2 linked regions of the Caenorhabditis elegans genome follow. The protein of the gene in region 2 interacts with the protein of the main gene of each other region in a biochemical or structural test. Each region holds a gene or a part of one and is shown on either strand. Other genes may lie near its edges.

What was found.
Region 1: the proteins of unc-116 (region 2) and kca-1 form a complex in vitro, tested with the Caenorhabditis elegans proteins (one study listed by BioGRID).

The regions. Positions count from the first base shown.
Region 1 is NC_003279.8:4,759,460-4,763,217, forward strand, and holds kca-1 (Kinesin Cargo Adaptor), read right to left. Parts: upstream 1,863-3,758; 5' UTR 1,849-1,862; coding exon 1,324-1,848; intron 1,275-1,323; coding exon 1,086-1,274; intron 1,035-1,085; coding exon 525-1,034; 3' UTR 361-524; downstream 1-360. Other genes in the region: viln-1 (HP domain-containing protein), read left to right, coding at 1-25.
Region 2 is NC_003281.10:8,353,464-8,357,221, forward strand, and holds the start of unc-116 (Kinesin heavy chain), read right to left. Parts: upstream 1,712-3,758; 5' UTR 1,633-1,711; coding exon 1,594-1,632; intron 1,547-1,593; coding exon 1,451-1,546; intron 1,278-1,450; coding exon 1,116-1,277; intron 883-1,115; coding exon 585-882; intron 537-584; coding exon 307-536; intron 260-306; coding exon 1-259. Other genes in the region: Putative RNA-binding protein R05D3.8, read right to left, coding at 3,524-3,703. UniProt on the Caenorhabditis elegans protein: Microtubule-dependent motor protein required for organelle transport. Plays a role in endosome transport. Required for the transport of mitochondria along the axon of motor neurons. Involved in the nuclear migration of hyp7 hypodermal precursor cells.

The DNA of each region.
Region 1 (3,758 bases), on a different chromosome or scaffold from region 2:
ACGGAAAAGAGTTGGACTATTCTGAACATATTTTTTATTTATATTGACTCACTAGAGGCGGTGAAACCGTCATTACTGTATTATCACCTTGCCATTTTATCTCCTGTATAGATTGCCTGATAAATAAAAGCGTGTAATGTTTAACTGGATTTCGATTACTACATACTAAACAGATAATATAGCATGAAGAGCAATATCTGAATAGAAAAAAGAAACTTTAAAGTAAATGTAATGCATGATTCAGTGAATAAATATGGAAAAATTGCTATGGAGCATTCGTAAGTGTACAACTTCGGCTTATCCAAATCCATTTTCCGCTTCTTTCTGACCTACAACAGTGACGCCTTCAAAATAAAATTTAAAGTGATAATCGTCTTTATTTTTGACGAGAATAAAATATATTGCAATAAAACTATAGTACATGTGATCACTTGTGAATAATAATATTTGACATGGAATTATAAACTTAAGACGAGCGGGATGGGTGAGTATTTTACAAGTTAATCAATATAAATTTATATTATTTACAGCATGCATTCGTCGAAACTTCCGACATCGGATTCCAAATGCGGCTGCCAATCCGAATCCTCGAAGTCGGCGGATACGTCGTGGTCACTTTCCCGGCTCACACGATCAGTGTCGATTTCCGGGCCATTCGGACATTCGCTGCAGATCTCGTCGATGCTCTTTTTGATGCTCTGGATGCGCTCTCGAAGTTGCCTAGCGAGTCCTTGTTCTGGCCCATTCTGGTTGGCAAGTGCACGCTGAATGGCATTTTCCACACGATCCAATCCCAGAATGGCGCTCCTCGCATCATCAGAAACATTGGCTTGATCTAGGTTGATGGTCGAACTGCTTGGTTCAGATGACATTTCCTCTGACGAATGAACGACATATGTGTTGCAAAGGGGATTCTGAGTTGATTGTTCGGGCTTTCCGTGGTCTTGCTCAGCGTCTTCCGAGTCGACATAGGCCAGCTGGTAGAAATCTCTGTTCAATGATTTGCACAGAATTTCATTAGTTTCCTCTCGACTCTAAAAAAATAAGATTTTAGTTCAATAAAATTATATACTCAAGAAATTTACCTTGTTCAACGTTGTCATAATTACAGCATTATCAAGTAGAATCGATGAAGTGTTGTTGAAGACTGCAGCTGGCACAGCGACTGTGTTGGAGTCACAATATCTCAATGGAACCAAGCTGTACTCGTCGTCACTTCCGTCCTCATTGATTGCAGGATTCTTCGGCGTGCTGGTGTAAAGTGGTGTGAACGGCTGTAAAACAACAAAATTAGCATAAAGTTGTTAAAATAAATATTCTCACCCGTGGCTGACGATCTTCCGGAGTGTTATCCAATTCGAATCGGACTGCTTTCAACACACGAGGAGGGAGTTTGAATCCTTTCGATGGATGTGGAGTGTATTTATGATCCTCAGGAAGCTCATCTTGTGCTGGAGTAGTTCGATGCTTCCAATACGAAATCTCGTCGTCATCCCACCAAAACTCGTCGTTTTTCATTGACGACACAGACTCGCGAGTCTTTTTTTCAACAAACTTCTCCATTCCGTCGACGTCGTTGTTCCGGAAGCACTTCATTATTTCATCGACAGTTTCTTTGTCCTGTTTCTTCTTCAAGTCCTTCTCAGTCTGACGCCATACAAACCAGCTGAATGGCCGGAAGAACGAGACGCCTTGTACGTCAGAAGTGTGTGGAGATGCCATAGAATGCCAGGAGCTCGATAATGAAGTCGATTTCATTGTTCGAAATGATGAATCGGAAGTGCTCTGCCCTGAGCAGTAGGACAGAGCATCTTCTCCGATCATCACTCCGGCGTCTTGTCGAACCATTTGGAATCGAACGGCTGCAAGAGAAAATATAATTGGGAAAAAAGGAAGGAAAAGTGGAAAAAGGAAATTGAATAAATAAATTTTCGAAAAAATTAAGTTTAAGCTTCGAAAATTAATCCTAAAAAAGAGAAAAATGTGATTCAAAAAGGCTAAAAGTGAAATGAGAATACGAAAATACGAAAATACGCGCCTTTCATTGCACAGGTCTCGGCGCGACTTTACCTCCGGAAAATTTGGCACATGCGTCTTTAAAAGAGTACTGTAGTTTCCTTCAATATTTGCGACAATGAAAAATCGATTTAAAATCGAAAATCTTCCCAATTTGTTTTAAAAAATTATAAGAAATTACATGAGCTCAGAACATTTTTCTTTGGTATTTTTTCATTTCTAGTTGAAATCCAGTTAAGTTGCTAAAATTTAATCCCGTATTTTGTTGATTTTCCAGTAATTTATTTCTAGAAATAAATCAAATGTGTTTTAAACTCTGAAATTTCAACAGAAAAAACAAATAATCATGCGAGTATTCGAAGAATCGCATAAACTCCGAAACTTTAATTTTTTTAAGTTCATTGCCCGAGAGGAGAACACGGCCGAGAATCTGAAAAATCATTTGCACGCGGAATTCAAATTAGATCCTCAGGAAGCTCATCTTGTGCTGGAGTAGTTCGATGCTTCCAATACGAAATCTCGTCGTCATCCCACCAAAACTCGTCGTTTTTCATTGACGACACAGACTCGCGAGTCTTTTTTTCAACAAACTTCTCCATTCCGTCGACGTCGTTGTTCCGGAAGCACTTCATTATTTCATCGACAGTTTCTTTGTCCTGTTTCTTCTTCAAGTCCTTCTCAGTCTGACGCCATACAAACCAGCTGAATGGCCGGAAGAACGAGACGCCTTGTACGTCAGAAGTGTGTGGAGATGCCATAGAATGCCAGGAGCTCGATAATGAAGTCGATTTCATTGTTCGAAATGATGAATCGGAAGTGCTCTGCCCTGAGCAGTAGGACAGAGCATCTTCTCCGATCATCACTCCGGCGTCTTGTCGAACCATTTGGAATCGAACGGCTGCAAGAGAAAATATAATTGGGAAAAAAGGAAGGAAAAGTGGAAAAAGGAAATTGAATAAATAAATTTTCGAAAAAATTAAGTTTAAGCTTCGAAAATTAATCCTAAAAAAGAGAAAAATGTGATTCAAAAAGGCTAAAAGTGAAATGAGAATACGAAAATACGAAAATACGCGCCTTTCATTGCACAGGTCTCGGCGCGACTTTACCTCCGGAAAATTTGGCACATGCGTCTTTAAAAGAGTACTGTAGTTTCCTTCAATATTTGCGACAATGAAAAATCGATTTAAAATCGAAAATCTTCCCAATTTGTTTTAAAAAATTATAAGAAATTACATGAGCTCAGAACATTTTTCTTTGGTATTTTTTCATTTCTAGTTGAAATCCAGTTAAGTTGCTAAAATTTAATCCCGTATTTTGTTGATTTTCCAGTAATTTATTTCTAGAAATAAATCAAATGTGTTTTAAACTCTGAAATTTCAACAGAAAAAACAAATAATCATGCGAGTATTCGAAGAATCGCATAAACTCCGAAACTTTAATTTTTTTAAGTTCATTGCCCGAGAGGAGAACACGGCCGAGAATCTGAAAAATCATTTGCACGCGGAATTCAAATTAGATCGAGGAAAAGAGTAGTATTTGGAACTTTGTACATCATAACATCTTTCTGGGAGACTTTTGTGATGTTTCCCTTATGCACATTGCCTTGTTAGATCATATAAAAAGCTTTTGAGCAGAGTCTCAAATATTACTACATCACCTTTACATTTTGGAACCTTTAATTTTTCAATGGAAGTTTGTCTTCTCAACAAATAAGACAACAGAAGAACACATAAAACTTTATT
Region 2 (3,758 bases):
GAAGGGCGGCCAATCGAGTATTCTTCTCTTTTTCTTTCTCATATCGCCGTTTCCATTCTTCTGCTGTGAGCTCTTCGTTGATTTGTACAACATTCTTGATAGTCTTCGCACGTGCTCCGAACAAAAGTGTGGATTTAGTTTCAGCTTCGTTGAAATGTGACGGAGAAGCACAAATAATAACTGTAGTACGGGAATTTCCTCCTAGAGATTCTTGAAGAATACGAGTCAGTTTGGAATCACGATATGGAACATGAGATTTCTGAAATAAATATTCGTTTTAAGAAGGTCATAATTTAAACAACTCACAGTTCCTTCAGCCAATGCTGAAATAACTATTCCGAGTGCAGTAAGTGACTTGTTGATGTTTTTGGCTTCTTCTAAAACTGTTCCTTGAGCTCCAGTTTTGCTCACTTTCTCAGAACCAGCCAAATCAACAAGATAAAGCTTTCCGGTGAGCTGTTTCTTTGTTGTCTGATGTTCTTGTTTCACAGTAATCAAGAAGACGGAATGAGATCGAGAAGAATGTTCGTTCATGTCTGAAATTTCGTTCACATGTTAATTTGTTTAATTTTAAGTTTACTCACTCGTAACTGCAACCATTCTGTTGGATTTTCCATCTTCGATTGCCTGAAGAACCTCATCGGGTCCTCCAACAAACCGTTCGGTGGCTCCCTTCACGTATGGCACTCGATTTTTATCTTCATGAATGGACAAATTGACCTTCTCGGGGTCTAATAAATCTCGAATCTTCTCGTTGTAAATTTCATAATAGGACACTTTGATGTGAAATTGAAGATTCTCGTCCATACTATAAATGTGGTTAAAGATGTCAGCAACGATACGTGGAATGATTCCCGACAAGCCATTATCACCGATTACTCCCTGTAAAAAATATGAAAATAATTAAATTATATTGTTAATTTCATCGAGCGCCGAATATTTTAAACGTAAAAATTATCAAAAATCTTTCGGGCATTCGATTTCGGAAATAACTGCTGAAAATTAGTTCTCAAACTTTTCTTTTCATTAATCAGTAAAGATTTGCACTGTTGATATTACAACTTGATTGTCTTTGTCGCATTCTACGTAATTATCAAGGTTTTCATAATTCCTACCTCCATTGTATGTGTTTTTCCGGAAGATGTTTGTCCATATGCAAAAACTGTTCCATTATAACCGGATAATACATCCTGTACGATGTGATAAGCGGCTCCTTTGTACACTTGCTCTTGCGTGGTGTTCGGCTTGAACACTTTATCGAACACGTATACTTTTCCCTGAAAAATTCCAACAAATCAATCGATATATATATATATATTCAACTTTGCACTTTTCGTGTACTTTTCAAACAGATGAATGTGTCATGTGAGAGAATTGACACACCTGCATCCCCCGTGCTTCCCGTCCCTGTTGACATAATTGTTCCCTATGACCCCTTTGTATTACTCACCCCAAGCGATATACTGTCCTCGGAAGGGAATTTGGGCAGGAAACGGTCCGCATTCTTCTCCTCGGTCTTATTGAGCGGCCGAATACGACAAAATACCTGAAAACAATATGAAATTGGAAAATCTAGGCGGGGAAAATTAATACCTGGACACCGCATTCTGCTCCGTCTGTCCGCGGCTCCATTTTCAGAGAATAATGATCACCAGTTGGCGGTTTGTAACGGCGCCTATCGTATTAATTACCCGGCTTCTCCTTACAATGCCTGCAATAAGTATAATCAATATGCTGAGTAGAGAACAAGAAAAGATGACGAGATGCAAGAGAAATAGAGAAAGGAGGAAACGGCAAAACATTGCGAAATTTCGGAATATTTCATCACTCGTCTCGTGCGCGATGCACAGAAGCTGCGAGTTTTGTTTGATTGGGCGGCTTTGACAAAAAATAAACTAAAGGCTCATAGATTATGGATAGACAACGGAATGATAACAAAATAACAAAAACTGCAACGTTTGTACTGAATATTCAAAATTTTCACACAGAAAATAGAGAAATAGAAAAAGACTGGCGTCGATCAAACGTGGCACACACAAATTTCACAAATTTATGCATTTTTGGTTAAATTGTTCGAAAAATGAGTTCGGAAAATGTTTTATAATTGAAATAATAGCTTCAAAACAACAGGAAACTTCTGGAAACAATAAAAGTTTTTCCCGCGCGGAAAAATGTTTTAGTTGGCAATTTGTCGTGAAATCTTGGGTTTTTCGAATTACGTACGTTTGCCTATCGTATTTTCGGTCAGATTAATTTTTAATTTCAGTTTTCTTTTTTTTTTCAGCAATGCTTATTTAATTACTTATTTATATTTGACATTTTATGTATATGCGCGAGAATTAAAAATTAAAAACAACTTGCAAAATCTCGTACATTTTCAAAATTTTATACTATAAAATTAACACCATCCAGCAGTGCTCAGTAAACCCGTTCATAATATACCCAGATTTAAACCAAATTAAAACCGTACAAGCCTATATTGTGAATTTATCTGCACAAATTTGGTTTGGATCTACACAAAATCGATTTGGAAATACACAAACCTACACAAATTCAGTTTACATCTACTCAAACTTGCAATCTATGCAAATTAAGTTTGGATCTAGACAATCTTGGTTTACATCTGCCCAAAATTAGAATTTTTCATAATATAGGCTTGTACGGTTTTAATTTGGTTTAAATCTGGGTATATTCTGAACGGGTTTACTGAGTGACAAGAAAGACAAAGTGAAACTGAAATCGCAAATCCAAAAACTAACATTTCTCCACGATACTTGTCTCTTAACTTTTCGGAATGAATATTAGCTTCAATATTATGCAATAACATATGGATAAATGCGGTTTTAAATAAATTTCATAGATAAATACACAAACTAAACAAGATGAGGATATCCGAGGGCAAATAAGGAGACTCAAACCAAATATGGTCATCAAATTGACAATGAGTAATGGCCAATACGACACGATACGGCAGATGGTGAAGGAAGGCGGGGGAGACCGATTCGGATGCGAAAAAGAACGATAAGAGAGAAAAGACACTGCAGGTGGGAGTATTGTGTTCAGTAGATTTTCGTGGTGGGACCTAGAGGATGGTCGGTGCAAAAGCTTCATTGAAAAAGAGTGAAACGAGAGGAGAGACACACTCACAACATTCATTCGTTTGGCGGGAAAAGAGACGAGGGAAGACTTTAGTATTGGGTGGTAGAAAGAGTTGGAGAAAGAAATTCGAAGGGATACAAGGAATGTATTGGCATCGTGAAGAGACACAGAGATACATCCGTGGTTCCCTGTGTTCTCTTCATTTTGTATAATGTTTTATTCTCGGTCAGAGGGACAACGGACGGCCTCTTCAAACACTCACAGAACATTCGCTCACTGCGCTCACTAGTAGAGAATAAAGGAAGTTACGAGAGAATGAAACTTCGAAGATAAATCAATTTTATTTTTTAAAATCAATGTTCGTAAACTTCGAATTAAGTGAAACCGTAATTTGAGATATATGAGTTTTGTTTGATCATCACAGCTACCATTTTCTCGGTCCATAGCCACATTGAGACAATGGATCTGATTCTGGTGGTTGATGATATAGTGGTGCATATCCTGCTGCTGCAGATGGATCATAGTGATTTGATGAAGCAGATGATGAGGCATGTACAGAAGTTACGGGACGTGACGGCGTTAGATAAGCAGTGTGATTTGGAGGCTGAAAATGTAATGCAATATTTTAAAACACGTTTTACAAGATAATTTATTTAAAC